Danio rerio: one gene and its partners. The protein of the gene in region 2 purifies or fractionates together with the protein of the main gene of each other region. This does not show direct contact. Links are inferred from orthologs where the notes say so. Each region holds a gene or a part of one and is shown on either strand. Other genes may lie near its edges.

The links.
Region 1: the proteins of csnk2b (region 2) and rps6ka1 purify together in Homo sapiens (affinity purification with mass spectrometry; 4 studies listed by BioGRID and IntAct, with this or other methods). This does not show direct contact. The link is inferred for Danio rerio from reciprocal best matches to the Homo sapiens genes CSNK2B and RPS6KA1.
Region 3: the proteins of csnk2b (region 2) and rnf111 purify together in Homo sapiens (co-immunoprecipitation; 3 studies listed by BioGRID and IntAct, with this or other methods). This does not show direct contact. The link is inferred for Danio rerio from reciprocal best matches to the Homo sapiens genes CSNK2B and RNF111.
Region 4: the proteins of csnk2b (region 2) and zc3h4 purify together in Homo sapiens (affinity purification with mass spectrometry; 3 studies listed by BioGRID and IntAct, with this or other methods). This does not show direct contact. The link is inferred for Danio rerio from reciprocal best matches to the Homo sapiens genes CSNK2B and ZC3H4.
Region 5: the proteins of csnk2b (region 2) and eif3ja purify together in Homo sapiens (co-immunoprecipitation; 3 studies listed by BioGRID and IntAct, with this or other methods). This does not show direct contact. The link is inferred for Danio rerio from reciprocal best matches to the Homo sapiens genes CSNK2B and EIF3J.
Region 6: the proteins of csnk2b (region 2) and nkapd1 purify together in Homo sapiens (affinity purification with mass spectrometry; 3 studies listed by BioGRID and IntAct, counting the BioPlex papers as one, with this or other methods). This does not show direct contact. The link is inferred for Danio rerio from reciprocal best matches to the Homo sapiens genes CSNK2B and NKAPD1.
Region 7: the proteins of csnk2b (region 2) and cep170aa purify together in Homo sapiens (affinity purification with mass spectrometry; 3 studies listed by BioGRID and IntAct, with this or other methods). This does not show direct contact. The link is inferred for Danio rerio from reciprocal best matches to the Homo sapiens genes CSNK2B and CEP170.

What each region holds. Positions count from the first base shown.
Region 1 is NC_133192.1:28,543,685-28,547,952, forward strand, and holds the start of rps6ka1 (ribosomal protein S6 kinase alpha-1), read left to right. Parts: upstream 1-1,468; 5' UTR 1,469-1,958; coding exon 1,959-2,021; intron 2,022-4,268. UniProt on the Homo sapiens protein: Serine/threonine-protein kinase that acts downstream of ERK (MAPK1/ERK2 and MAPK3/ERK1) signaling and mediates mitogenic and stress-induced activation of the transcription factors CREB1, ETV1/ER81 and NR4A1/NUR77, regulates translation through RPS6 and EIF4B phosphorylation, and mediates cellular proliferation, survival, and differentiation by modulating mTOR signaling and repressing pro-apoptotic function of BAD and DAPK1.
Region 2 is NC_133194.1:29,146,038-29,149,579, forward strand, and holds the end of csnk2b (casein kinase II subunit beta), read right to left. Parts: intron 3,313-3,542; coding exon 3,210-3,312; intron 2,956-3,209; coding exon 2,840-2,955; intron 2,753-2,839; coding exon 2,677-2,752; intron 1,833-2,676; coding exon 1,643-1,832; intron 1,561-1,642; coding exon 1,470-1,560; 3' UTR 501-1,469; downstream 1-500. UniProt on the Homo sapiens protein: Regulatory subunit of casein kinase II/CK2.
Region 3 is NC_133182.1:30,566,672-30,570,171, reverse strand, and holds part of rnf111 (E3 ubiquitin-protein ligase Arkadia), read left to right. Parts: coding exon 1-126; intron 127-3,500. UniProt on the Homo sapiens protein: E3 ubiquitin-protein ligase. Required for mesoderm patterning during embryonic development. Acts as an enhancer of the transcriptional responses of the SMAD2/SMAD3 effectors, which are activated downstream of BMP.
Region 4 is NC_133190.1:26,185,575-26,189,743, reverse strand, and holds the start of zc3h4 (zinc finger CCCH domain-containing protein 4), read left to right. Parts: upstream 1-1,369; 5' UTR 1,370-1,594; coding exon 1,595-1,674; intron 1,675-4,169. Other genes in the region: sae1 (SUMO-activating enzyme subunit 1), read right to left, coding at 1-28. UniProt on the Homo sapiens protein: RNA-binding protein that suppresses transcription of long non-coding RNAs (lncRNAs). LncRNAs are defined as transcripts more than 200 nucleotides that are not translated into protein.
Region 5 is NC_133200.1:34,325,564-34,329,833, reverse strand, and holds the start of eif3ja (eukaryotic translation initiation factor 3 subunit J-A), read left to right. Parts: upstream 1-1,470; 5' UTR 1,471-1,562; coding exon 1,563-1,584; intron 1,585-1,721; coding exon 1,722-1,810; intron 1,811-2,280; coding exon 2,281-2,338; intron 2,339-3,582; coding exon 3,583-3,674; intron 3,675-4,083; coding exon 4,084-4,201; intron 4,202-4,270. UniProt on the Homo sapiens protein: Component of the eukaryotic translation initiation factor 3 (eIF-3) complex, which is required for several steps in the initiation of protein synthesis.
Region 6 is NC_133190.1:24,175,129-24,179,334, forward strand, and holds the start of nkapd1 (uncharacterized protein NKAPD1), read left to right. Parts: upstream 1-1,406; 5' UTR 1,407-1,490; exon of another isoform or gene 1,491-1,788; coding exon of another isoform or gene 1,789-1,891; intron 1,892-2,126; coding exon of another isoform or gene 2,127-2,176; coding exon 2,177-2,245; intron 2,246-2,319; coding exon 2,320-2,396; intron 2,397-2,481; coding exon 2,482-2,637; intron 2,638-2,989; coding exon 2,990-3,043; intron 3,044-4,206.
Region 7 is NC_133188.1:11,503,063-11,507,047, reverse strand, and holds the start of cep170aa (centrosomal protein of 170 kDa), read left to right. Parts: upstream 1-1,185; 5' UTR 1,186-1,282; intron 1,283-3,985. Other genes in the region: sdccag8 (serologically defined colon cancer antigen 8 homolog), read right to left, coding at 610-673.

The DNA of each region.
Region 1 (4,268 bases), on a different chromosome or scaffold from region 2:
CCACACTTGCAGGTCTTAGTCTTGATGCCTTTTTTTAAATGTCACAGTTTAGCCTGACAAAGCCCTACATTATCATTAGTGTATTTGAGTGCCATTAAAATCAGTTTGTACTTTGTCCCATCATTTGACTCAATGAAACATGGTCCTCTACCAATGCACACTCCATATCCTCCCACTACCATCTCATAAAGGCGGCCATTCATACTCTGTTTTACTCTGGCAACAGATTCACCGGCACGCTGGCAGATGGTCTGTGGTTGCCAGTGGTAACCACTCTCAGCGAGAAGCAACAGTTGCTCTTCTCTGCTCCCTTTGAGAGAATAAAAAGTCAAGAGGTATTGGCATATCACTGCCTCGCCACAAAATGGGCAAGCCTACAAGACAATTACAATTGAGAACATCGAACAGCATTCCTAGCATGATGGAAAAGGAGATAGGCTACTTGTGCCAGTAATGGGGAATACTTTGTTACATCAATCTCTCTTTTGTTGAGAAGTTTTTTTTTTTTTCTGAGAAATGCCCTGGGATGATATGCTTTCATATCAGTCAAATGCAGTTAAAAAGATATTTTATAGGAAATTGGTGGTGGTGTTGTTGTTTAAGTGATAAAAAACATCCAAATGTTATCTTACACCTGAAAAACGTGTAATAATCAAACTGCTAGATTTTTTTATTTCAGAACCCAGTTTATGAATTGATGACTTTTTTGATTAGACTTTAACAAATTGATTAAGTTGGTTGACAAATTTATGAGAGTGTGGACTGAAACACAAAACACAAAGTCTGTAATTCAATCTGAATTTTTGTGACATAGCCAATACTTTAAATTCGCACATAATTCTGACGAATTAATGTCATGTGAACATGATTGATTTATCAGTTCTTGCTGAAACCCCCAAAATTCCATCTAAATGTATCTTTTTCTGTTACTTTTGTCCTTCTAACTTTAAAAAACAAAACAAAATTGTATGAGTTTTGAGGAAGATAATTGTTTTTGTTGTGAGTCTTCTCTGTGAAATGTACTTTCAGACACAAATGGAATTTTTAAAAACAAAAAGTATTGATCTCCAGGAGTTTAAGAAGTGTTTTCATCTGGCCTCTTTAACTTTGACACAAATATATTTAAATTTTAAGCTATGGACAGCAGGACATACTTTTATTTGTGTGAGGTGACGTGACACGCACGTGTGTATGAGGTTTGAACGCAATTTCCCGATAAATCCACGCCGAGACCGCAAAATAATTAAACTACTGTATGTTTGGAAGAGGATTTTTTATTAGTTACATGAGAGTTTGTTTGAATATAACAACCTGTAAATTTGAGCTAGAAGTTTCAGCCCTTGTCAGTGCAGCTTTAGAGTTTGCCTTGCAGTAACAGCACAGGTCCAGAGAGGGGCGTAAGCAGAGTGTTTGGAAAAGGGGCTGGCCGAGAACTGTCTTCAAACCAATGATCGGCTGAAGCTTTTACACTGTGGATTCGGTTCAGAGGAGAACACACTGACAGCATCGGCTCCTCTTTGCAGCGTCTGTGTGCACACCGACAGTCAGTGTCAGAAGACACTTTCCACCGTATTGCATTAACACATCTTATTGGATTTCCTCGGAGGAGACGCGATTGATCGGCGCAGACGCGCAGTGCATGTTCTTCTGAAAGCCGAGTCCACCTGCGCGTGTCTGAGAGATTTGTTCATTTCCAGGAACGGGGCTGTGCAACTCCTCTTCCTAGCCGGACTGAGAGGAGAATCCGTCAACGTCATTTAAACGGGAATAACAGCTTTGATCTTTCTTTTTCTACGAAGTGATTATGCGCGTCCTGCGCGGATTGTAAGCAAGGAAAGTCGCCCGTTTGCTCCTGACCCAAAGGGACATATCAGGTCGTGCCAGCAGGAAATACACGGGTTCGGAAGAAATTCCCATTCAAATTTGAGGACTTGAGACAAACAGAAGGAGCGTGCACAATGCCTCTTGCTCAACTGGCAGAGCCATGGCCCAAAATGGAGCTGGTGCAGTTGGAGACGGAGGTGAGAGGTGGTGAAATCACAGCACTAAAATTAACTGATTTAATGTGCGCCCTTTAGGTTGCTCTATCCGTGCCAGAGGTCCACGTGTTTGACTTTAGGAGTTCATGAGAAATACAGCAGTCGTCTAGAAATGTGATACTTTGTGCAAAATAACTAAAGAGTTGTGCAGGTGTGATGGTCAGGGTCTTTATTCTGTTCTTTTGGAGCGCCAGCAGGACGCGCAGCGCTCAAGTAGTGCAGGTCAGATGTTTCCTAATACTGGAGGGTCGTTTCATAAAAAAGTGCCTAGGTGACCTTCATAATCGATGACTTTAACCAAATAATCTTTTTCTAACTTAAACACACTCACACTCACACTCACACACACACACACACACACACACACACCAGACCCATAAACCTTCTTCATTTGGATGTCAGTCGTAGCCTTGTAATGATAGCAGTGTGAATATCAACCATGTTTTCAAGTTTCTTTTTTGATGAAAACCATAATTTTTTTTAAGAATCATGTTCATGCTATTTCACAGCTGCTTTGGAAAAAAGTCAATTATATCTAGATTTTAAATAATGTGGCATGAAAGTATAATCCAAAAACATGCCACCACTTCAGTGATTCATAACCTTTTTTCTAAATCAGAAAATCACATAAAATCACATTTTCAGCGTGGAAAAATGAACCAATTTTAGGGAATGACTCTGCAGTTGTGTCATCTTTAAACTCCAGCGGAAGAATATTGTTTTCTTGTTGTGCTCAGTGAAGCAGCTGTTTTCCAGTTTTTCACTGTGCAGTTCTCTTCTCTGGGGTACATGTCAAATGTCATAAAATCAAATAAATAATACAGCAGTTTAAGGTCAGAAGAAGCATTGGGAAACAACACTCGAGTTATCGAGCTCTTTTGTATTTCTGAACTTTAGTTGTGGTGCATAAGAAAAACACAATTTTTAGTGTTTTTTTATGTTAAACATGTTATAAAATTATTGGCATATAAATACTTAATATTTACATTGTCAAAATCAAATAGCATCCACTCGTATCTGCAGTATAAATTGTCATGCTTGGTTATAAAAAAATTAGGTGTTTTTTCCTTTAAAAGATTTAAATTGCGATATGTGTTCAAATATGCTAGTTTGATGATTTGTATCTTTTGGTGACAGACCACAGTGCTGACATCTCTGAGAGCTAAACTCCTAGTCAGTTCGAGTTTTGTATCACAGAATACTGTCAAGACGTTTGCATTGTACAGCTCTGGAATTTCCTCTTCCAATTCAGCTGCAGGCCAAGTTTGCAACTACAAGGCAAGCAGAGACAATATGTTCTGTGAGTGATTAATGAGAATGGAAGGAAGAAGATTTAATTTCTTATCTTGCTCTCAGACTAATGTTGATCTCATTTGAGAATCACAATAAGAGGCGTATTTTACTCTTTTGTTCCTGTTCGTGTAATCTGTGCAATTTTGAGATTAAATTAACTTTAATTTTCCCTTGCCTTCTGCTCTCTCACCTGCGCAATGAGTTCACCACCAATCAACTGGCAGCAGGTTTGCTGCAGAAACATTCTCAGTTTTCTCAGTCATTTGAACGAAATTACTTCTGCAGATGAAAACGAGAGGCAGAACTGATCAGAAAAAAATCTAATATAAGTTTAGCAGGAAAGCTCTACTGATTAGAATCTTGCTACAGCATTTCTGCAAGTAGCCTACCACAAGATCTTAAAGTGCTTCTTCCTGATATAGACTCGCTGAACAAAGGACTAAGCACAGGAAGTCACACCACTTAATTTGTCTGAAAAAGACAGGTTTTAGTTTTTTCACATGCTGCTAGTGCTCAAAGGACCCCAGACACACAAAGTGTGTAGTTACTAGATTGAAGAAAAAATGTGTCGTCAAAATGTAAATGTATGTAAAATGCACACCTGCCTATTCTGTCTGATATTATTTTAAAAAGGGCATTTTGCCATTTGCATCAAATTATATTCAACATAAGTGCAATTTTGCAGTCAAAACATGACTCTTTACAAATAAATAGATCTATTGCTAGTTTTGATATGTTTGTTTTGATAATCTGACATTACTTGCAGCATTTTGGTGTATATATTTTCATGCTTACAGAATCATGAAGTATCAGTACACATTAAGTTAGCTTGGTTTAAAGGTCCTGTGAAGTGCTTTGAAATGTGCATTTTTGGTGTGTGACAATTTCAAATGAAACTTGAAAACAGGGCAGGAAAGCTCCTCCCCTTTTAAAAAG
Region 2 (3,542 bases):
AATCTACATTAATAAGATGCTTTTACACGCCACTATCCATACCTCATGTGGAGGGTAAAATTCATACTTCATGCAATAGATTGGATAATTGATTAAAACCCTTTTGTTAGGTGTCAGGTCAGGTCAGGTGTCAGGAGACGTTATCAATGTCTACAAATTTTCTACTGAATTACTAAGAAAGCACTTTTCTTTATTCTGTATTCTTATATTGTTCCTAAAAGTACAAATTATTGTTGCAGGTTGCCTATGTTTGTTTATTGACTGCTTTAGTTTGGACTTGAGACGGATGCAGTTGACAATGTAAATGTCCATTCATGGTTTTCCCTCATATTGCATTCATTATGATGTAGGTATTTTGTTTGACATCTACATAAAGAGCTTTGTTCAGCAAGTTTGATACACAATGAGCAGGCAATGCAAAACTTTCTAAAATAAATTGACTTTGGTCAGGGATTTCTTTAGTTTACATTGATTACAAAAATGCAGAACTCAAGCACAAGTTGTAGGAAAAGACATTTATTGTGAATTCTGAACCCTGGTTCCTCAATAGCTGTAAAGGAAAAAAAACATTCAACAGGATCAAAGAAAAGAAATAGCACACACAAAAGAAATGCATTTAAACCCATTTTATATTTTCTACTCTGACTCTTCTCTACCAGAAGAAATACTTTAAACAAGAGAAGAAAAACCTGGGCCCATACCAAACATAAAAAACATCCTAACTCTGGTCAATCTAATCAAATTTGTCTGAAGAATCTGGACACTGGAGGAACGCAGCAGGTTGGCGTCAATCTGAAGAAGAGTGCAGTACCAAATATTAAAACAAAAACATGTCGAATTAAGATGGCGTTTCCTGATTACACTTGTCTTCCCATTTCTGCTCTTATCTTATGCATGCGGTGAAAGCTTGCAGTCTGTCAACAAAAAACAGTCAAAGACAATCCCAGCGACGTCACTTAAACCCAAAACATACTGCATATATCATGCAACAGCCTTCCTTTTTATTTCAATAAGCCAAATATCAGAGAAGGGGATTGAGCCAATTTAAATGGGGTTTTGATGACCAATCAACCCTACTTTTACATTCAAAGCCAACCATCCACCATGCCGAGAACTGACAAGACATCAATTCAAGACTGTTTTATATGTTAGCATTAGCAAACTAAAACAAACAGTAACCAGAGAGCGAGCAGAGCCATCCTACAGTTATCTATCTTTAAGTAGATCTTTATTTTCTATGTGGAGGTTGAGAACTGAAAGAAGTTTGTTTTTTTTACAAGGAACACCTCATTTTCTGTACAGTGTTTCAGAGGTAAGCTTTTAGTTTCTCCCCAGTGTTTTACAGTCTCACTCTCTCCACATTTAAATGTTAGTCTCGGTCAAATCGAAGGAGAAGAGTGAGCCCTTGTTGACGGACACACAACCCACCCGACATCCCACCCCACCCCATCCCATCCCATCCCAGGTGTTTAGCGGATGGCTTTGACGGGACTCTTGAAGCTGGAGGCTGCCTGCAGCTGGAGCTGGTAAGCCATTGGGTGAATCTTAAAACCATAAAGCCTGAAAGAGGACAAAGACAACAACTATGATCAAACTGAACAACTGTAGACTTCATCTGAGAAAATCAGGAGGAAGGACAAACCTGGGCACAAACTGGTTGGCAGGCCTTTTTGGCCGGTACTCGGGATGCACCATAAAGAGCATGTGAGGGAAGCCGGTGCCAAAGTAAGCTCCGTCAGTGTGATGGTGCCTGGATGACTTCGGCGTGTACACATCCATACACTTGGGGCAGTAGAGCTTCACCATAGCCTCGCCGGGAATGTCAGAGAGGCCTGGAGAGGGCAAAAGATTCATTCCTTCAAGTTTCAGTGGAGCTCATGTGAACAATGGACTGCCTGAAGACCAGCGGCCTGTACCATAACGCCAGATTAGCTGGCTAGCCAGTTAAGTTTGCACCAATTCTGGGTTTTAGGTAGCATGAACGTAGCTTAGCTTATATGCTCCATAGTACCATGAGAACAAAGAGGGACTAAAATTGAGCTGACTTCATGTTACCTAAAACCCAAGATTGGGTCAAACCAAACAAACTGAACTGGCTGGCCAGCTAATGCTACAGGCTCCACTGTTTACACTCTTTCGTCAGATCACAAGTCTTCCACATTTACTCCTTGTGTTTTAATCCGCCTTTTGGCTTTTAACATGCAGTAACGGTTGTGCTCATGAAATAAATCAGCAAAGTAGGCGCTGTGAAATACAGTGTACAAGTTACATTATATTTGTGCTTAAATGCTAAAGTGAAGACATGGTGAAATTAAAAATAAAAAAACATTTATTTTTAAATAAAAAATACATTTAAAATAAATAAATAAATGACAAATTAAAAACAAGTACAGATTTTTGTGCCAATATTTTAAAATATGACTTGTTTTTAACTGTATATAAGGATAGACCTACATAAAACTTTTAAAGACAGAGCCTACAGTGCTCAATCAAATGATACATATTCTTTATTATTTTTATTAATATTAATGTGTCGTTTAAATGGTTATATTTAATCAACTAAATAATTGTATGTCAATATGCAACTACTGCAAATACTTTTACCTTATACATTTTTCTACTACATGAAAACTGGGTTGGTAAAATAACATGCACAAAACAGGCTGAGGCACTCACCAATAGGCAGCATTGGCTGATTCTCACAGTAAACACGAGGACAGTAGCCAAAGTCTCCCTGCTGATATTTCTCCAGCTCCAAGAGAAAACAGCACATCATGTCACAATACAATAACATCTTTCTTAAATGAAATGATTCAAAAAATTGAAAAGGAGATCATACCATCTGGGCAATGCCACGGTTAGTGAGGATATAGCGAGCATGAATCAGCCCATAGAGCATCTCAGCAGCCTGCTCAATCAGGTCACTCTGGTTAGGGTTATCCTCCAGCTCCTCATCTGATGAACACAAGAATCATCTCACTATTCACATGACACTGCTTTCCAACAAGAACAAGAAATATTTGGCAGGACTTGACGTCATCCATTGGCAATTGACTGAATGCTGGTTTAGCTATTGGCTAGTCTCATGTAAGTGACAGGTTGGGCCGTTAATGCGTTTAATTAAAGCTTAAGGTTGAATTATTTAAAAGAAATGCTGACCATAATGATGGCACAAAAGTGGGATTGTGTAGAAAAACTAAATGACTGACCAGGTTCCAGATCGAGGATCATGTCCAGAGCTTGTCTGTAATGGGGAACTTGCTCGTTGAGTCCTGTAAGATTAAACTTGTCCTGAATATAGTCCTCATCCACCTGTATAGAGGGGAAGAAAAAGAGCAAAGCACATTAGGAATGCATCAATGAAAATAAAACAATTGTTCAAAAAAACTAAACAAAAAAACTGATTTCTGCTTTATTTTTATATAAAAAGCAGTTTCAGAGAGTTTTTGATGCTGTTTTAGCTAGACAGACAGATGGTGGTTTGTTCTGTATATTTTATTCCACTTTAAGTGCTTCCCACAGATTTCAAATATACTTGCGGT
Region 3 (3,500 bases), on a different chromosome or scaffold from region 2:
CTAGCAGCTCCAGTGAGGAGATGACCTCTGATGACTCCTCTCCTTCTTCCACTGAGGCAGAGCATGAACTGTATGTGGATGTTAACAGCAGTAGCAGCCAAGCCAGTACTGCGGCTGTGGCATCAGGTAAATCCGCTATTTATTATTTTATTTTTCCCAGTCACCGCAACTTATTGTTTTTAAATGAAGTATACAGATACGGAGAGCTCACAGTTTGTCCTTGTGGTGACTACTTTGCTTTGAATGAGAGTGCTTGTATTCTTTCAAATGACTTTGAATTTTTCCTTGTTTGCATTAAGAAAAGTTGGATTAAAACTATATACTGACACAATTCAGCAACGATCATGAACCCACCAATAGTTTCAAGCAACTGAACTGGTCAAGGCTGTTATTGTAATTGTGAAGAAAAACATACTCTATTCCCCAATCAGCATCCAGGACTGGAACCATTGTTTTTTTTGTTTATATAGCAGAGGTGGGTACTCGTGGTGAATAACTCAAGTTGCAAATTTGAAAGAGACCTAGCATCCAAAAATCACTTTTACATGTTGCTTGAACACTAATGTGTGTCCAAAGTGTGCATAAACAGCCAGCCTATAAAGGTCAAATCCACCCTCTTTTTTTTATAAGCTCCCTAAATAAGAAGCAGTGTCTGAAATTATGCTGTTTTAGATTTCGCCCCTAATCTGACGTCAAAAGCTGAGGTCAAGACAAATGTTAATCTGTCCTGTTAACATGGATCTGAATTCAAGAGAGAATGTTACTTTCATGTTCTGAGGCAGGGGTGTCCAAACTCGGTCCTGGAGGGCCAGTGTCCTGCAAAGTTTGGTTCCAACCCCAACCAGACACACCTGGGCTAGCTAATCAAGCTCTTACTTGGCTTTCTAGAAACTTCCATGCAGGGGTGCGTTTCCCAAACAACGTTGTGACTTTCGGCTGAGCTATCATAGCACGATGCATCATTTAGGAAAAGCACTATGTATTTATTAGTAAATAAAAAAAAATCACTCCTAAAATAATATTAATAATTATAATGATGATGACGATGATGGTTATTATTATTGTTTTTAGTAGTAGGATATTGTTTTATTTATTTATTTATTTTTGAAAAGTCTACTTTTATAGTTTGACACATGCAAGCCACTGCAGAAATGTTATAATTAACAGGCCCTTGTCAGATACAGTGCAGATACTTAATAAATAACCTATTTATTATTACTATAAATTAATACATTAACAAAGGCTATATATTTTGTTTTCACAAGCTTTGGAAATGTACCATAAATTCCACTTTAAAACAATGTCACCTATAGCTTTCGCCATGAGCCACAGCTGTGTTCAATATGGCATCAATGTTTTCAAAGTGCACTGCGAATAGAGCGCAATTGTAAACCTAAAGATTGCTAAAACTGAACTGTAAAAATACTTTAAAAGCAAATGACACATACGAGAGATGACTTTAATGCTTAAAAAATCATTCCATGTTAAAATGTTAGAATGTTCTAAACGAATAGGGCGTAGGGGGGATAACTGGGAATAGAACACAGTCAGGAACTATGTTTCTAATTACAGCTCCAGAGGTTTAGTTGCAAGAATAGTTTGCGACGCAGTTTGTGAATGTTCGTTGAAACGATGGATTTGGGAAACGTCAAATTAATGAACCATATTTGTAATGACAGAACTTGCGACCTTAGTTGGTTAACGGTGGTTTTCGGAAACGCACCCCAGGTCTGTTCAAGCAAGTTGAAGCTAGAATCTGTTGGACATCGGCCCTCCAGAACCGAGTTTGGACACCCTGTTCTAAGGCATAACTGCATAAATACTTATCAAGTAAAGCACATCGACATATTTATTGTATATAATTTAGTTCCACCGTTCAGACGGCAAACTTTATTTGCACATCGTAACTTTCACAGGTTCAAAATGATGAGGCAATTCGCATATCTCAACTGTTTGTTCTCTTCAACCCCTGCGATTGATTTATTTATTAAATAACAAAAACATTTGTTTAAATTCATAAAGGCATACACAGTGTACTTGGGTGCTTAGCATGTGTATGTGCTAATTACCCTTATTACAGAATTGTTGTAGTACATAGAAGCTTGCCCTGTTTCTCCATTTGAAGTTCCAGACTTAACTGCAAAAAATACTATTTATATATTTTTATCTAAAATATTGCATATATGTGAATGGCCCTTTAAGTAGCAAATTAACTCATTGGAGTGAGTGTACACAATTTGTCTTTGTAAATAATTTATTTTGCATTTGTGATATTCAGTAAAGTTTGAGATATAAAAAAAATTAGCCCATGTTCGCATGCGTTTCCTATGGGTGCTCCGGTTTCCCCCACAGTCCAAAGATATGTGCTATGATTAAAATCCAAAATATTGTAATATTTGAACATATTAAAGTATAGTATAACTTTTTTACATGTACATTTGATCAGATACATTTTGCCATGATGAGCATCTTTCAGGAATATTAAAGTCGTTACTGACTCAACTTTGCTGCATGCGGTCTCCGTCTGAAAACAGAAACGGCACAGCAGGAGATCAATTGTGCATTTTTGCTTCTGCTTCTGTCCTTGATTATATTTTTCATAAACATTCGAATTGAGTTGTATGTTGTTGAAGTAAGCAAGTTTCACCTCCCCCTTTAAAGGGTGGGGATATAAACAGCTACATTCTCAAACACATTAGCAAAACTTCAAATACTTTTCTCATTTTGTTTCAAGCATTCAAAATTAATACTAAAAGTAGTAATGCTACTAAAAAAATAAAGGCTTGTTTATTGGTCAAAACTGTGCATATTTTAAGAGATTTATGTTGTAGCTGTTTCTTTTGTTTTTGAGGGATGGCTACAGCCGTCAGCATCATTCTGTGCTTGTGCAAGTCATTCTGTGCGTGTTACAGAATGTTTGAATTTCCTGTTGAGCAACAGCAAGTCCTCACCCAGCCCTCTCAATGCTCTCTCTACCGTTCACACATTCCCTTCTCACGGAGATCTACACCACTCAATTGAATATACATACATCGGCTGATAAAACCACAGAAATGTGTTAATATCTGTAGCTAGCAGTGCATCAGCAAAGAACCTGCCATACATAACTAGTGGTCTAGTGCTTCATCTGATTTTTCTTTTTCTTGCTGTTCCTCAACCTTGCCACTCACTCATACCAGCATGTTTTCATGCGTACATGTGATTAGTCTGTCATGACACTCAAATGTACTAATAGCTTCCTAAAAATGCAGATCATATCACTGAGATGATGCCTCGTTGTTAGAAATCTTTATATATATATATATATATATATATATATATATATATATATATATATATATATATATATATATATATATATATATATATATATATTATTATTATTTTTATTATTATTATTTTTTGTTAGTTATAGGTTGTGATTATCGACTGTATAAAATGTGTTATTAGCTGCCTTTTCCAACGATTGGTGAAACACCTTTATCCTTGCATAAGAAAAC
Region 4 (4,169 bases), on a different chromosome or scaffold from region 2:
TGTCTTCTTTTTCGATGGTATCGATCATCTCGGAATATTTGTATTTCTGATGATAAGCTGTAATCAATTAACTACGGGTTAGTTGGACTATTCTACGCTCTATTTTTTCTATTGCCCATTCAATGGGACAAAAGTGCCGCTTAGTGAAACTCGTAAAGGCGCGCAATGATGACGCAGGAGATGTGTGCCAGAATCAGAGCTCGACAATGGACATTTATCAGGGATCCTTTATACATCTAGCGAGCGTTAAATGTGTCACCAAAATATGTCATGTACATATGATGAATTTAATTTTTAATAATGCATAATTTTATGAGCAAAGGTCCGTTCATGGTGTTAATTTAACTTAAAATTTCTGTCCAGATATGAGTGAAAATGGTGCATTTTACTATTTTATAATAGTCTACTTGCAAAGAAATGGAAAAAAGAAAATTAGTACTTTTTATTTTAAGAGACATTAAATAATAAAGAGTATAAATAATATAGAGTCTTCTTTATTTTTAAAAATATTCTCAAAGGATTTGACAAATCATTTGACAATCATTATAAGATTTTCATTCATTCATTTTCTTTTTAGCTTAGTCCCTTTATTAATCTGGGGTCGCCACAGCAGAATGAACCGCCAACTTATCCAGCATATATTTTACGCAGCGGATGACCTTCCAGCTGCAACCCATCACTGGCAAAATAAGATTTTAATTTCAAACAAAATGTAATAGTATAATTTACAATAATAATGGTTTTAAGCAAACATAAACGTGACAGAATTATATTTATTGGAGTGTAGATCACTATTAATAGCATTAAATGATTGTTTTCTAGATCTGTGCTTGCAAAATAGAATCAAATAAAAAGTTGAGTTGTATAAAACTGATACTTTAGAGTTATTATATTCAATTATATATATATATATATATATATATATATATATATATATATATATATATATACATATATATATACATATATATATATATATATATATATATATATATATATATATATATATATATATATATATATATATATATATATATATATATATATATATATATAGGTCCAGAATAGGTATTGAAACATATGATACCAAAGATAATGCAATGTTGATATATTTTAACTGCAAGGCCCCTTTTTTGATAAAACAGTAATAATACAATGAATAATGATAATAATAATGATGATGATAATAATAATAAATACTGATAAAAATAACGTTTTATATTAAGATATTATGTGCATGATTACAGTTAATATATACTATTTTAACTATTACATTACCCTTAGAGTAAAAAAAAAAGTGTTTTTTTTTCATGACCCGATCGGTCATTTCCGTGACAGTCGACGTCACGTAAGTCCGCCCATTCTCTTCGGAGAAGAAGCGTCGCCATTTTAAGAGAATGAGTTTCATTTCACATCGCAACTGTAGGACGGAGAACCTCAGGAACGTTTTCAACCTGTTTCTCTTTTAAACTGTTAGGGGGGAATTGACTACAATGAACTGAATCTCTTCCTAATGCCAATCAACAAGTAGATCAAAGTCAAGTAACGCATAAGACAGTTGATTTTTTGCACTGAATGTAGTACGTTAGAGGAAATGGCTGTGGAAAGCATGACTGTCCATCCAAACTCCCCAACAGCCAACCACGAACACAACAGCCTTCTCACTGACGAAAGGTCGAGTAATATCATCATATTTCTATCCAACTATTGATTTGTCCTTTGCTTTTTTCCAAAAACAAAAAGCACGGGCATTTGCTTTTTTTCTTTCAAAGGGATTAAAGTCGCCTTTTCTGGGAAACGTACAGAGGTAACGAAACGCCATCTTGAAACGTTACACAGCGCAATCTGGAAGGTCACAAGCGAATCAGGAAAACATTCAGAATATGATCAAATTGACATTTTCAGTCACTTTCTAATGTTTTTTTAGTGATCGAAGACCATGGGGCCACCCCTACGTCAAAACATTGATCCTGTAACAGTGTTTTCATCACAGATAAAGAACAGATGGACAAAAGAAATCACAAGCTAATTTTTTTTTGTTATAGACCTAAAATTAAACTCCGACTTATTACCACAACGCAAACCGTATGTTATGTGGTAAAACTGATCCCTTTTTACGCATTAAGGAATTTGTTTATCCATCGCGAGGCCTGGACCGAGCTAAAGCTAGCAGTGCTAACAGTTAGCCAACAGTTTAGCAACAAAACACGGCTAACGGAAGCTAATGAATAGCGACGGATTAGCACGGTTTATAACTTGGCGTCTGATTAATTATTCCTTATTTAATTGGTCATCGAATGCAATACGATTTAGTTTATCTTAACGTAATAACGCAAATTTTAGTTCGGGATGATAATTTGTCTCCCTTTAGCGCTTAGCACTTATGCTAAGTGTCACGAGCTACGCACATAGATTTATTGGAGACGTCACTAAAATAACTTAAATATTTTTATTCCTTTAGGGTTTGGTTGCTTGAGCGTTACATTTGTGTTTTAACGTTAATAGGAGCTATGTAATCATAACTCATCCGCTTTTGTTTTTTAAAATAAGTTGTTAAAACATACAGGTACATTAAAATTAATGTAGTATATGATTTTATTTATTTTAAATATTTATTTTATATTTATGTCTTATTAGTAGCACGACATATGCCTGTTGATTCGGATTATAAAAATGTTTTAGGTTTCTTTACATTTAAGCTTCATGGGCTTTAATTTGGTTAAATGCCGTTACTTTTAGTCCTCCACATGAATTAATTTGTTGACAGTAGAAATAAATGTTAAATTGTTATTAATCTAGTAAATATGCCACAACAGGTGTCCCTGTTTTTCATACACTTCTTTTATTGTAATTTAGTTAGCTTAATGTACACATGCATCCCTTCATGGTCCAGTGCTGTTCAATGTCTCAGAAGCATTCAAGGTCTTATCAGAACACAAAAGTGGTTAACCATTTTGCCCAAACTGCAACCTTTCACCTCCCTTATGCATACATAAGTATTTCACAGTAAGTATTGCCAGAAATGTACAGGCCAAGTTATTTTATATATCTTTGCATGCAATTGTCTTTTATTACTTGCATACATACAGTGAACATACTTTGAATGATTATTATTTTTTAAGTTAGTTGTAAATTTGCCAAGAATTTCTTGCAACACCTTATGGCTAGATCCATTTTTGTTACATTGTATACATACTTTTTTTTTTTGCTTTTGTCAGATGTTATTTATTTCAAAGTGTGTTTGACAAGTAAATAATGCGAGGGAGCCCCATTTATAATTTTGTTTGAACCTATTGTTTTGTCATTGTATTCAAAAACATTAGAATGAAAAATTACAGAATCAAATGAGGTTTTTAAAAAAGGTGGTCTCCTTATTTACTGAGAGCCCACTATGTTATGTAACTATATTTTGTTTCACAACATGCTAATAATACCCATGAAATATTTTTGTTGACATAGAGATGAATGGATTTGTAGTTAATCATTAGTGACCATTTACCAATTGATTCTTTCTGTACTGTTTTAAAAACATTACCTGTTCAGAAGAACAGATAACTTGAGTTTAGCCATGGAAGATATGGTTCTTACAGTCCACTGATGAGGAAGTTTGTATTTTTATAATGATTTTGAGTTTTTTATATTATTAGTTAAATGTAAAAGTTTTGTCTTTAAAGTTTGGCAAATTGACTAATTTTTTATTGTTATTACTAATAGCATAAAGCTTTTTTTAAACTAGCTAAAGTTACTTAAAATATACTACAATATAAATATGTAAATGTGTCAGTTGGTTGATACTTGTGGAAACTTGTGTATCTTGAATCATATCTCATCCATGGCTTTGCATTTAGGTTCATGTTTTAGCAAATCCTTTTCCTGAAGTTTCCTTTTTCAGGAGTAAAGTTTAGGGGTTAATTGATAATGTTTTGTCAATGCGCACTGTAAAGTGCAGCAATGTTTCTCTGTCTTATGTGACTGCTCCTTATCTTTGTTTTGAAGTGTAGTCCTGTCTAAACCTTATAATTGCTTACTATACAACCTATATGTTAGATCTTCTATAAACAGGGTGGCTCTGTAGTGACTCAGAGTTGCTTTGAGCAATGCACAAATGAGCACTGAACATTTGACACCCCTAGTGTGATTCTCAACACAACTAAATTACAATGTTGCAT
Region 5 (4,270 bases), on a different chromosome or scaffold from region 2:
AACTTGTGACACACTCCCTATATTGTTTACCACGGCACTTTGAATATTCGATCTGAAAAAGCTGCAAGTGTGACTTGAAAACAACATTAGCACTGTTTATTTGACTGTGAGCAATGTTCTACTTCAATAGTCATTGGCGGCTAATATGATTTTGCTATTTAGAGTTTGCAAATAATACTTTTATAAAATTATATTATTAAGGAGAAAGTCAGAATGTGTGAATATAAAACCAACTTTACCTCTATGTGTAAGTTAACGTTGGCTCCGTCTGCTTTCCTTGTCTTTGGCCAAGCAGAACCTCTGTTTTTAGCACTACATAGTTTTGAATCTGGTAATCATGGAACATTATTTCTTACACTTATTTCTTAATCTTGTTAAAACACTTGGAGCTTCGATGAGAGAGTTGTATATTTGGGGCAGGATGCTTGGCCATTTCGTCTTATCCAATATTCATTGGGAGGGTGCTTTCGCGACTCACATCACTCACTTTAACGTTAATTTTGCCAAATCACTGTACTTATCACTGGGTGACAAGCTGTTATAATACGTTGAAAGCATTATGTAAATCATGCATATATATATATATATATATTAAAAAAAATAATATATATATATATATATATATATATATATATATATATATATATATATATATATATATATTTATATATATATATAATAATATATATATATATATATATATATATATATATATATATATATATATATATATATATATATATATATAATATGTAATCAGTATAACTTACTTCTAAGTCAACAAACTCCGCATCGGATGTCATTCCCTCGCTGTAAATGCTAGCGCTCCCCTTTTTTTTCTGCCACTCCCTGCGCGCGCATCCTGAATGTTTAAAAACATGGTAATTCGTCTATAAGGTTCCTTTAATAGCATCGATGTTGTAATGTAATTGAAATACAATCAGTTTAATAGACTTAATCATTTATTAAGTTGTTTAAGTGTAAAACGAGATGAACGATTGCGTAAACGCAAGTGTCATCAGTAGAAGCGTGCTAGTGCAGAAACTCCACAGAAAATACATTTCCATATTTTAAAGACATAACGCAAGAAATCAACTTAATGCAGTACTTCTTGTCCAGTCTAGACCAACTTTATTTCATATATCAATCAGGAAGTAAAGATCACATTAAAAAAAAGAATTCAGATCTTAAAAGTCAATGTACATATACTCAATTTAATTGGACAAAATCAGTAGTGCAGGATGAGTCAATATTTTTGTTTGTTTTCTAGAAGCCGCACTAGATCACACACACTACACAATCTAATAAAAGTTACAGTTAGCAAACAAATGATTGTCTTGAACTAATACACAATCTAAAAGCCACAAAACGACATTTTATTTGATTGTGTGTTAAAAAAATTAACAATGTCTGATAATGGTATTCCTCATGGTACTGCACAATTTACTTGTTTGTAAAATTTCCCTACCGTCCATCGGTGGACCTTTATTTTGAAATTTCCGGAAGTCTTGGTGCAGTGAGTTGAGCTTCACTCTCTCGTTCCCCTCAGCGACTCTGACATCATGGCGGACGCCGATTCTTGGGGTGAGAATTTCTTAAACTCCACCGTTATCTTTCTCTTCTATTCGCTTGGAAACATATAATCTTTTCTACCAGATAAACGTACGCCAAAAATACGCCTGTCATTAAGTGATCTGTCTGAACAATCGGTCGTTTTCCAGATGCGGACAGTTTCGAGCCTGAGGAGCCCATCAAAAAGGCGGCAGTTCATGACAAATGGGAGGGCGAGGATGAGGACGACGACGTGAAAGTTAGTAACGAACCCTTAATTTGTCGTTCTCAAGTAAAAAAAACTGTTTTAACTCTTCTTTAATCCCTACATATCAAGACATTACAGTTGGCTAACTTTAGCTAGCTACTCTTGCTAACTCAAGAGTGTCAAAACAACGTGGTGATAAGTCCTAATACGTGTCTATTTAGTTTGGTGTATACCTGCTTAAATACGCTGTCATAAGTTAAACAGTGAAATTATAGTAATTATATGAGTCAGTTCCATTTCTCTAGGCCTTTAATTACAATTAATAGTTTTGTTAGTGTAGATGGCCTTTTGTAGCAGCATGTCACTGTAGATTGTCACCTGTTGATTATTTAAAATTATTGGATCATCCCAAGGAGATTTCATAAAAGGAAAGTTTGAGAATGTTAATGCTTCTCTTAGGCTAGCAACGAAGATGAAGTGGACTAATTTATTAATTAAAAGTATTCTTCCTTTCCATTTAGGATAATTGGGATGATGATGAAGAGGAAGAAAAGGAGGAAGAGGAGGAAAAAAAGACAGGTACAGTGATGTTCATGAGTTGGGGGAAAAGTGCATTGTTAGGATAAAATGGGGTCAAAGGCCAAAAAGGATTTTGAAGCATCAAAGCATATGTTGCGCAGTGACCATGAGGCTATCAGTGAAGAACAATAATAATTTGATGATATATTAAACTATTTAAGCAATCACGTTGAAGCCTCAAAATACTTACTGTCATTTTTAATCTTTGTAATTTCGCCTTTGTCCTTTAAACCAAGTTCAATTACTTATAAAGCAAGTTTTTAAAGTACATAAAACTAACTTTATACAAAGCAAAAATTATTTAAAAATTTTTTTTTTAATAATAATAAAGTATTGAGAAACCAAGAGAAATACTAGAACTACTAGGTTTTATCTATTAGTATCTATTTACCATAGATTTTAATACTTTTAAAAATTCATAAAGTTTAAGTTAATTTGTTTTAAGTACAGGTCAAAATAAGTATACATTACACTAAATGACGAGAAACCCTTTTCACAATATTTCGACATGCTTTTTTCACAAATAATATTTGAAATATTACATCATCTCATTTGACATGCTAACTGTGTATATCTGCACACCAAAATGGGACGTCTGTTATGAATTTTTTTATTTTGTAGTTGGCTCTATAACTAAATAAATCTACATGCATGAATATACAAACTATTTTAAAAATATTTTTTTAAAAGACTGTAAATTATCCACATTTAAATTCACATAATTACAAAGCATCTGCAGGGTCCTAAAAGTCTTAAATAGTCTTAAATTTCAACTACATTTTAGGCCTTAAAAACTCCTAAATTCACTCAAATATTGTGTTTTAGGTCTTAAATAATTTTAAACAGGTCTTAATTTTGTTTTGTCCAAGTAAAGTTACTCAACCGAAATCCATCCAATCATCCACAATGTGTCTCAATAAAACCTTATTTTTTAAATTAAAGTTTTTTTTATTGCAAAAAGATACATTCCCAACAGCTGTTAGCCATTTCTTACAGAAAATTCCCCAAATTAAATGGCCTAATCAGGAGAAAAAAAAACTAAAAATGATTACTCAATTCCTCAGGACAATACCAGGCCATTAGGATAAATCTCAACCCTGCATAAGTCTAAAATGTCATTCTTAATGTCTTAAAGGGGTCTTAAAAACTCTTACATTTGAATGGATGAAACCTGCAGAAACCCTGATCAGGTACTTCAGTTTGTAACGTTTGTATGCGATTTTGTTTGGATTTTTCATATGCAGAGGCTAAACCTACAGAAAAAAAGAAACTCAGTGAAAAGATAAAAGAAAAGGAAAATTTACAAAGGAAAAAACAAGAGGAGCTCAGAAAACAAGTAAGTTGGCGCAGTAACAATTTATTGATATTAAGCACATTTAATTCACATTGTGGGTTTTTATTTTTTTATTTTGCTGTCACTGTTGAAGTTTATCTTGATATGGCTACAAACTTTGAACTTGTATTATAACTATAACCATTCATGAAGGATTTTGGGGTAAATATATCACAGTTTTAACAAAAAATATATAGCTGATTATAAAACATTGATGATAAGTGTTTCATGAGCAGCAAATCATATTAGAATGAGGATCATGTGACTGCAATAATGATCCTGAGATTTTGAGTTTGACATTTCAGGAATAAATTAGATTTTAAAATATATTATAGTACAACAATTATTGTAAATGCTATTCATTTTGTAAGAATATTTTTCATTAAATGTATACAACATTACATTTTTAAAGCAGTTAGAGGAGACAAAAAGAGACACACCACTCACACCAGAAGATGAACTGGCAGAGAAACTCAGAGTGAAACAACTACAGGAGGATTCAGACTTAGAACTAGCAAAAGAGGCATTTGGTGAGTGCTTTCTGTATATAACATGCATCTACATTTGTTTTTAAAACGGATAAAAGATTCAATTCTGAA
Region 6 (4,206 bases), on a different chromosome or scaffold from region 2:
TGACAACCATTTTGACAAATGCAAATTACATTTACGGTTACAAAGTACAAATTATATGGATTGCAAGAGTAGATTTGTGTAATATTGGAATTGGGGTTGAAAATTATTTTTATAAAAACTGATGGTCTGTTTTAAGATGCAACCCAAGGCAATAAAAGAAAAAAATAATCAAAGAGTATAATGGTAATATGGTATAATATATAGGGACAGTAGAAGGGTTGTGAAGGGTTGACTTTTCTGGCCCTAAAATAATCATAAGCCTTATCCCTGAGCCCCAGTGACCAAATGTTGCAAGATATTATTGTGTCTCCTGTCATTGTCATTTCCACAACACCCTATTATTTCTATTACCATTTTTTAAATATATTTTATTATTTCTCATCACATATTAAAAAATATCCACAATTGATATTATTACACAATTCTATTTAATATAAAAAATTTATTTATTTATTTATTTATTTATTTATTTATTTTCTAATGAGTTTTTACCTAAACTAATATTACATTTCAGAATGTGACAATAATTCAGCATTTGGTCACTGGGGAAGTAAATTTAATTTATTGACAAAATGTATGTTGAGGGCAGTGCGGTGGGGCAGTGGGTAGCGCTGTTGACAGTAAAAAGGTCTCTGGTTCAAGCCTCGGCTGGGTCAGTTTCTGTTTGGAGATTGTTCTCCCCGTGTTTGCGTGAGTTTCCTCCAAGTCCTCCGGCTTCCTCCACAGTCGCTATAGGTGAATTAGGTGAGCCAAAAGTGTCCATGTGTGTGAATAGGTGTGTATGGGTGTCTTCCAGTGAAGGGTTGCAGCTGGAAGAGCATCCTTTGCGTAAAAACATATGCTGGATAAGTTGGTGGTTCATTCTGCTGTGGCGACCCCAGATTAATAAATGGACTAAGCTGAAAAGAAAATGAATAAATGAATGAATGAATAAATATTGTACACTGACTGTAAAAATACTGTAAAATTAGTTATAAAATTGATCAGTTCTTGAGTGGTATTGACTGAGTTATTCAATTGTTAAATAACCGCTGTGTTTTGAGATGTGATGGAAATGACATATGTTCAAATAGTTGGAATTAATGTGAAATATTAACAATTTCTCTTGTAATCTAAGTTTTTCCTCTTACAGATCTTAAGCCTAGACATATTAACTAAACTTATGAGACTGTAGGTGACTTTTGAACAAGTTTTTTTTAATAAACGTCAGTGGCCCTAGTTGAAGAAAAGCCTGTGTTTGAGTGCGCTAGTGTGTAAAATTATGGGCCTATTCTGAATTTTATACAAAATGTTTGTTTTCAGACAAGTTTTCTTAAAAACATTCCTTGATTAATCTGATAAATAGTCCTTTTATTGTGAAATACGTTTTGAGACTTTTATTTTAAAGTAACCTGCGGATGTAGTGCAGGAAGTTGATACGTTCTGTTTGTTGTTTTGGTGCCACGTTCACGTCTCTCACTACATTTAAAAATATATTGAATAAGCGAAAGGTCAGTTCTCACGTTACTCCTTTTAAAAAACACCATTTTGCTTGGTCGTTACAATTTTAGGGCTAACTTAAACGTTTAACGAAATGAATCTTTCGAGCTAAGGGTTCTTGGCCAGCAGGAAAACGTTAGAGGAAGTGATGCTAATGTCAGTAAAGCTCCTAACAGTTATATTTATTGGACAAAGCATGCAAAGACTAATGTTTATTTTAGTACACTATCTTTGGGTTTTGTATTGGTAAATTAACCAATAAGATCAGCCTGTGTTTGTTTGGATTCACAGGCACTGCTGCTTATTGAAATGCTTGAACAGAATACACACACACACAGACACACACACACAGATATATATATATATATATATATATATATATATATATATATATATATATATATATATATTTGTACTATATATAGAAAAAAGGAAGTGTGTTTGTGTGTGTGTGTGTGTGTGTGTATACATATATATATATATATATATATATATATATATATATATATATATATATATATATGTATATATATATGTATATATATATATATATATATATATATATATATATATATATATATATGTATATATATATATATATATATATATATGTATGTATGTATATTCTGTACAAGTATTTCAATAAGCTGTGCCTTACATACACTTCGTGTTTAAACCCTTTTTCCTAGGTGTATCCATGTCAAAGGTGTCTTTAGGTAAACTTCTACTCCGAAATGTCATCAGACACACAGATGCACATAACAAGGTATGTGACAATTTAAACACAATATTTCATAATTATGTAATCTGAAAGTCATCTGATTCAACTTAAAACTGCAGATTCAAGAGGAGTCTGAGATGTGGAAGTTGAGGGATCTTGAACGACATACCTCGTCCACTCATTTCCCAAAGCACAGGTGGATCACATGCGGCTCAACATTTCTTTTATTTGTGCTCACGGTGTGTGTTTCTCAGTAGTTGTAATGTGTAATGGTCATTTAGGGGCAGCATGCATTGTGACCGCTATTTGGACGACTCAGAAGGGTCAACGAGAGACCGGCTGGGTGAGCGGAGAGACGATGTATCTGAGAGAGATGAGAGGGAGGCACGATACTGGACACGCAAACTGTATGAGTTTGAAGCCAATGATCCTGACAGGTAGTGCTGGTTGGTGTTGTGCTCGTCATGTTTGAACTGTTTTGTACACTGTAAAACCCAATAAGTTAAGGTAACTCAAACCATTTGAGAAATCCGATTGCAACAATCCATTTAAGTACAAAAACTAATCCTAATGAGTACTGTGAACTTAATCCACTTGAGTAAACGCCGCAATTTCAGCGCAGTAAAACCCAATAAATTAAGTGAACTCAAACCGACTGAGTACTGTAAAAGCCAATAGATTAAGGCAGCTCAAACTGCTTGAGGAAACTACAAACCATTCGAGTTAAACTAATCTATTTGAGTACTGTGAACATTGTAACAAAAGGCATAACATGTTGTGTTCTCTCAGGTGGGGCCACAGTGGCTTTAAGGAGCTTTATCCAGAAGAATTTCATACAGACAGGTAAGAAGAAGCTCTTCTTCCACCCTTGAGTGAATGTTTAGCATATTGTTGTAGGTTTTGAGCAAGGTTGGAGAAAGTATGTGGTATTTAACAGCGAAATTGAACATTTATAGATTGAGGGAAAGTTGCCTTTTTATTTGCACATTTTTCAGTGATAGCTAGACATGGGATGATAACCGTTTTCAAGGTATACCATGGTTTGGAAAAGTCAATGTTTTAAACCTGCCAACATTTTCTGCTACAATTTTAAGAATTAAAAAAAAAATATATATATTTATTTATTTTATTTTTTTATGTTTTGTTGTAATTTTTAGGACAAAAGTTTCCAGCAGAAAAGATCTCCAAAATCTCCTAACCCTTTTCAAGTTGTAAAGAAATCTGTGTTTTCGAAACTATGAATGAACAATGAACAAATGAAGGCATCAGAAGTCAATGATTCGTTTGAATTGTTTAACCTGACATGTTTATTGCTCAAAAATATTGTAAATCACAGTAATCACAATACAGAGAAACCGTGATATTTTTATCCAAGTTTATCACACCATTAGAATCTTATACCAGCCCATACCTAGAGACAGCTTGTGACAAGCTATCTATATTATTAAAAAAACTTTTTTCTGTTGGATATCACATGCAAATGTGACTTCAAAACAACATTAGTATTGTTTATTTGACTGTAAACAATGTTGTACTTTGATAGTCATTGGCTGCTAATATGATTTCACTGTTTAGAATTTGTAAAGAATACTTGTTTGAAATTATATTATTAAGGAGAAAGTCAGAATGTGCGAATATAAAACCAACTGTACTTCAACCATTTATAGATGTTTGCATTAACAATTCCTAACTATAACAAAGTTTCACCCCATCAGATGATTCTTCAGCTTCACTTGAAGTTTAAAATGTATTGTTTCCTTGTACCAATATCTATGTACATTTTAACTGCTATACAGTGTAACCATCATTACCAATCTTGTTAATAGACAGGTTCCTGTTATAAAATCACATTTTATTCTTAAAATAAACTATTAAAGAGAATATATTTTATTTATACATTGTGTAATTTTAATTCATTTATTTATAAAGTTTAATCCAGAGAAAAAAAACATTGCCACCATCAAATGAAAATGTTTTTAAAAAGTTATAAAACCGTTACTCTAAAG
Region 7 (3,985 bases), on a different chromosome or scaffold from region 2:
TGCCAGGCTTCCTATATTGTTTACCATAGTACTTTGAATATTCCGTCTGAAATCACATGCAAGTATGACTTAAAAACAACATACTATTTATTTGACTGTGAACAATGTTGTACTTTAATAGTCATTGGCTGCCAATATGATTTCACTATTTGGAGTTTGCAAAGAATACTTTAATGAAATGATATTAAGAAGGATAAAGTTATAATGCGTGAATATAAAACCAACTTTAGCTCAATAACTAAAACACGTGTGAAAATACACATATCTGAACTCAAATATTTAATATTTTCTAAATAATATTTTGAAACAATTTATGATAAAAATAAAGTATAAATACGTATAGGGACTATAGCATCTTGGTTCAGGGGATCTGAAAGGCTGAAAACTCCTGTTTTTATTATATATTGGTAAAAAAAAAAGTGAACATTTTAGCTAACTATATGCTAATGTAAAGAGTTTGGTACAGTTTCACACACACAAAAAAAATTATGTTGCAATGTATAACACCCGGTCAGAAGCTCATTGTAAGTGTTTAGAAACTGGTCATGCTGCACACTATTGTCGTTTTAGAAGAGCAACACAGGCTGAAATGCAGCATCAAAACATCACCTCTCAGCGTCTTCTGCAGTGCTCCTAATTCCTCTTCCTCGTCTGACTCCAAGGACGGTTTCATTGTTGCCTAAAACGCTTAATGAACGCCAATGTTGTTTAAAACAAACAACACAAATTCTCTTACTCGATACTTCAACAGCTGCAGTATTTTGTTATCAATGAACAGCGTCCAAAAAGACGTCAACGGTTGCATGGCAGACGAGCGCTTCCGTAAACCGCTTATAGGCAACTGGAACTTGTAGTTTTTACGATATCAAATTCGCTTGGTTAGATTGTTGAAAAAACTACAATGCTGTAATTTCCGCTAAGCACAACGTTCTCGTAGAGAGTTTTGTTTATTATCGAAGCATGCTTATTATTGTAAACAGCATATTTACAGCCAAAATTCATTAACAGTCAGTCATAAAAAATTTATATTTATGAAATATTGATGCGGAATTCATTGTATGAGGACACGCCCACCGGACTGTGTTGGAACTGCAAACGCTGTCCTACTTGCCTGATTCCAGGCTGCCGTATGTCGCCGCTATTTGTTAGGAATAACGTTATTGCTGCTGAGCAACTGAGGCAAATAGGAGACGTGGGGATACACACTGGGCTGGGCTACGAAAACCGTTTAGCTGCTGCATTGAAGCCCGGGATAAAACTGACAGCGAAAAGAAGAACAAGGGTGAGTGAGCGATTTGATAATAAAAAGAGCCGTTCTTATATTTCGTGCATGCAACGATGAAGCGTTTATTATAAGGCTAATGTATTGATGCATTTGGTCGTGTTCAACCTTTTTTTTCGCACAATGCTGTGGTGTACAGAATCCATGCTTTTCCCGTGATCTGATCTGATCGTGTGCTCAGGATACCGTAGATGTAACAGCAGGACACTGCTAGCCGGGTCGATCAAATTGAATGAACACTGCCTGCCTTTATGTGTGGTTTTGTATCAATGTTGTGCCTTTCAGTGTTCGCGATTCTTAAATGACTTATGTTTTCATACTGTGAGGTATTAATGTATGCTTTGATATCGAGTTTGATTATGGGTGCGCGTTGAGGAAACATCACTGGTCACCAGTTTCCCTAAACGCGTGGCATCTTGCTTACTATTGTAATATTAGCTCTCGATCGCAGCGAAGCACTAAAAACATCAGTAGCCTATTTCAGTAGTGGACGTCGGATGGGTAGGAGATGTGGATGATTTGCCGGGTACTGGTGCACACTGTGAAGGGCACTGCGCAGAATCCTTTGTTTTGACAAAGGCTCTTGTTTTGTTCTGGTAACGTTACATCTGGCCTACGTTTGTTTTGATTGCAGTATTATTATTATTATTATTAAAATATTAATACTTTTCAGCTATGCAAAAGGTTTATACGTGCTATTAAATGTTTTCTGCATCCGTATTTTATGAGGTGATTATCAAAATAGGCAATCTTATTGACAGTGCACTGTCTAGTGTGGTTGATTAAGTGTAGATTAATAGTTAAACAAAGGTTTTTGTGTCATTGTTAATTTTTTAGAGATTATTTTTAACATGTTATTGATACTACAATCTTAAAACTGTATATAGAGTAGGCATGGGATGATAACCGGTTTCAATGTTTACCACAGTTTGGAGAAGTCTGTCAGTCTGTCAGAACGTTTTAAAACCATCATGTTTTTCTGTTATACCATTTCTAAGGTATATGTAAGTTTTATGTTTTTAATGTTTTTAAGACATTACTTAGAAATTATACTGGATATTATATTTAGTTTTTTCAGGGTGGTATCTCGGTATATCCAGCTGAAAAAACCCTCCAAGTCTAAATGCTGTTACAAAATATTTTCAAATGTTTCTTAAAATAAATATATTGTGTTCAGTGGAGAAAAAAAAGTATTTTTTTTTTTACCCAGACATTTAAAAATAACTTATTTTAGAGCAGTAATCACAATACTGTGATTGCATGAAACAGTGATGCTTTCATTCAAGGTTATAGGTTACTGTCAGAATATTATACCGACCCATGCCTAATATAGAGACTGTCTTAAAAACTTTTTTGGCAGCATTTTTGAGTCACATTAAGATATTCAGTGAGCTGTGTGTTTTTTGAACTTTCCTGAAGAGCGGGTTAAAATGACAGTTTACCAAGAAATAAAATGTAACATGCTTATTAAATTACCCACCCTTAGGTCATCTACACTGTAAACGATTTCTGTTGTTTTCACAGTATTATACTGCATTTCTCAACAGTTTTTTACTGTATAAGCTGTGCACAGTGTGTTACTGTATATATTGTTGTTTTCACAGTATAATAATGTATTTTCAACTTTTCTATACTGTGAACATGGTTAACAGTATGTTACTGTAGATTTTATAATGAATTTTGGGGAAAAATCTGTTACTGTGTATCTAAATACAGTACTGCAAATGACCAAGAACAACTCCACACACACTATATATTATGATTATTATGTTTATTTATTTTTAGACAAATAATTTTGTGAAGTAAATAACCTAACCAGTTTCTTCAGACTGTTCAGTGCATTAAACTGTCCCCTGGTTTTCCATTTTTGGGTGCACTTTATAAGGCAACATGGAAATATTAAATAATATTTAATAAACATAACTTTGTGCTAAACCAAAACGTAAATTGGAACAAAAATAAATTGATTCACGTAACCAAAGACTGTTAAACACACAAAATGATTTTAAAGTCAGCTTAAATGTCAGAGTGACCAACCTGCTTTAGACGGATTCAAGAATATTGGGCACCCATGGGCCACCGTAGAGGTCACATATCTCCGCATTTTCAAAACAACATTTTAAAATACGCACTATCTTAATAAATAAACCACAGAATTGAGTTTAAAACAACTACATTCTCGCATGAAAAACGGTTAAAACTTTATTTCATAACACATTTATTATCTAGTCATCGAAGACAGGGGATGTCTCAATAATGTCTAGGCCGATTAAAGCATGAGGTTTGCCGGATACATAGTGATGGAGCGCCGTCATCCCCTGGAGGTCAGAATCTCCCCTATCGGCAAAGCACACTTAAAATTAAACATGATATCTAAAAACAAACCACAGATTTGAGTTTGGAAGAGCTACATTCTCGCATGAAAAACAGTTAAAACTTCATTTCGTGACATATTAAACGCAATATTTATGATATGATCTGGCTTTTCTCATCCGCCATTACGTTATATTTGCTTGTTGGTGTGAAATGAACTCTGGGAGAAAAAAATATTAATTCTCAAAACACTTCAAGCGAACCTTATTCTTATTGTTAAAGTCAGATATATGTAATATTTTCGCTGGTAAAGTGAGAAGAAAAAAACAATATTACTATTTTATCAATATCACGTTTGCACTGGTTCGGTTCAGCACACAAACGACACCG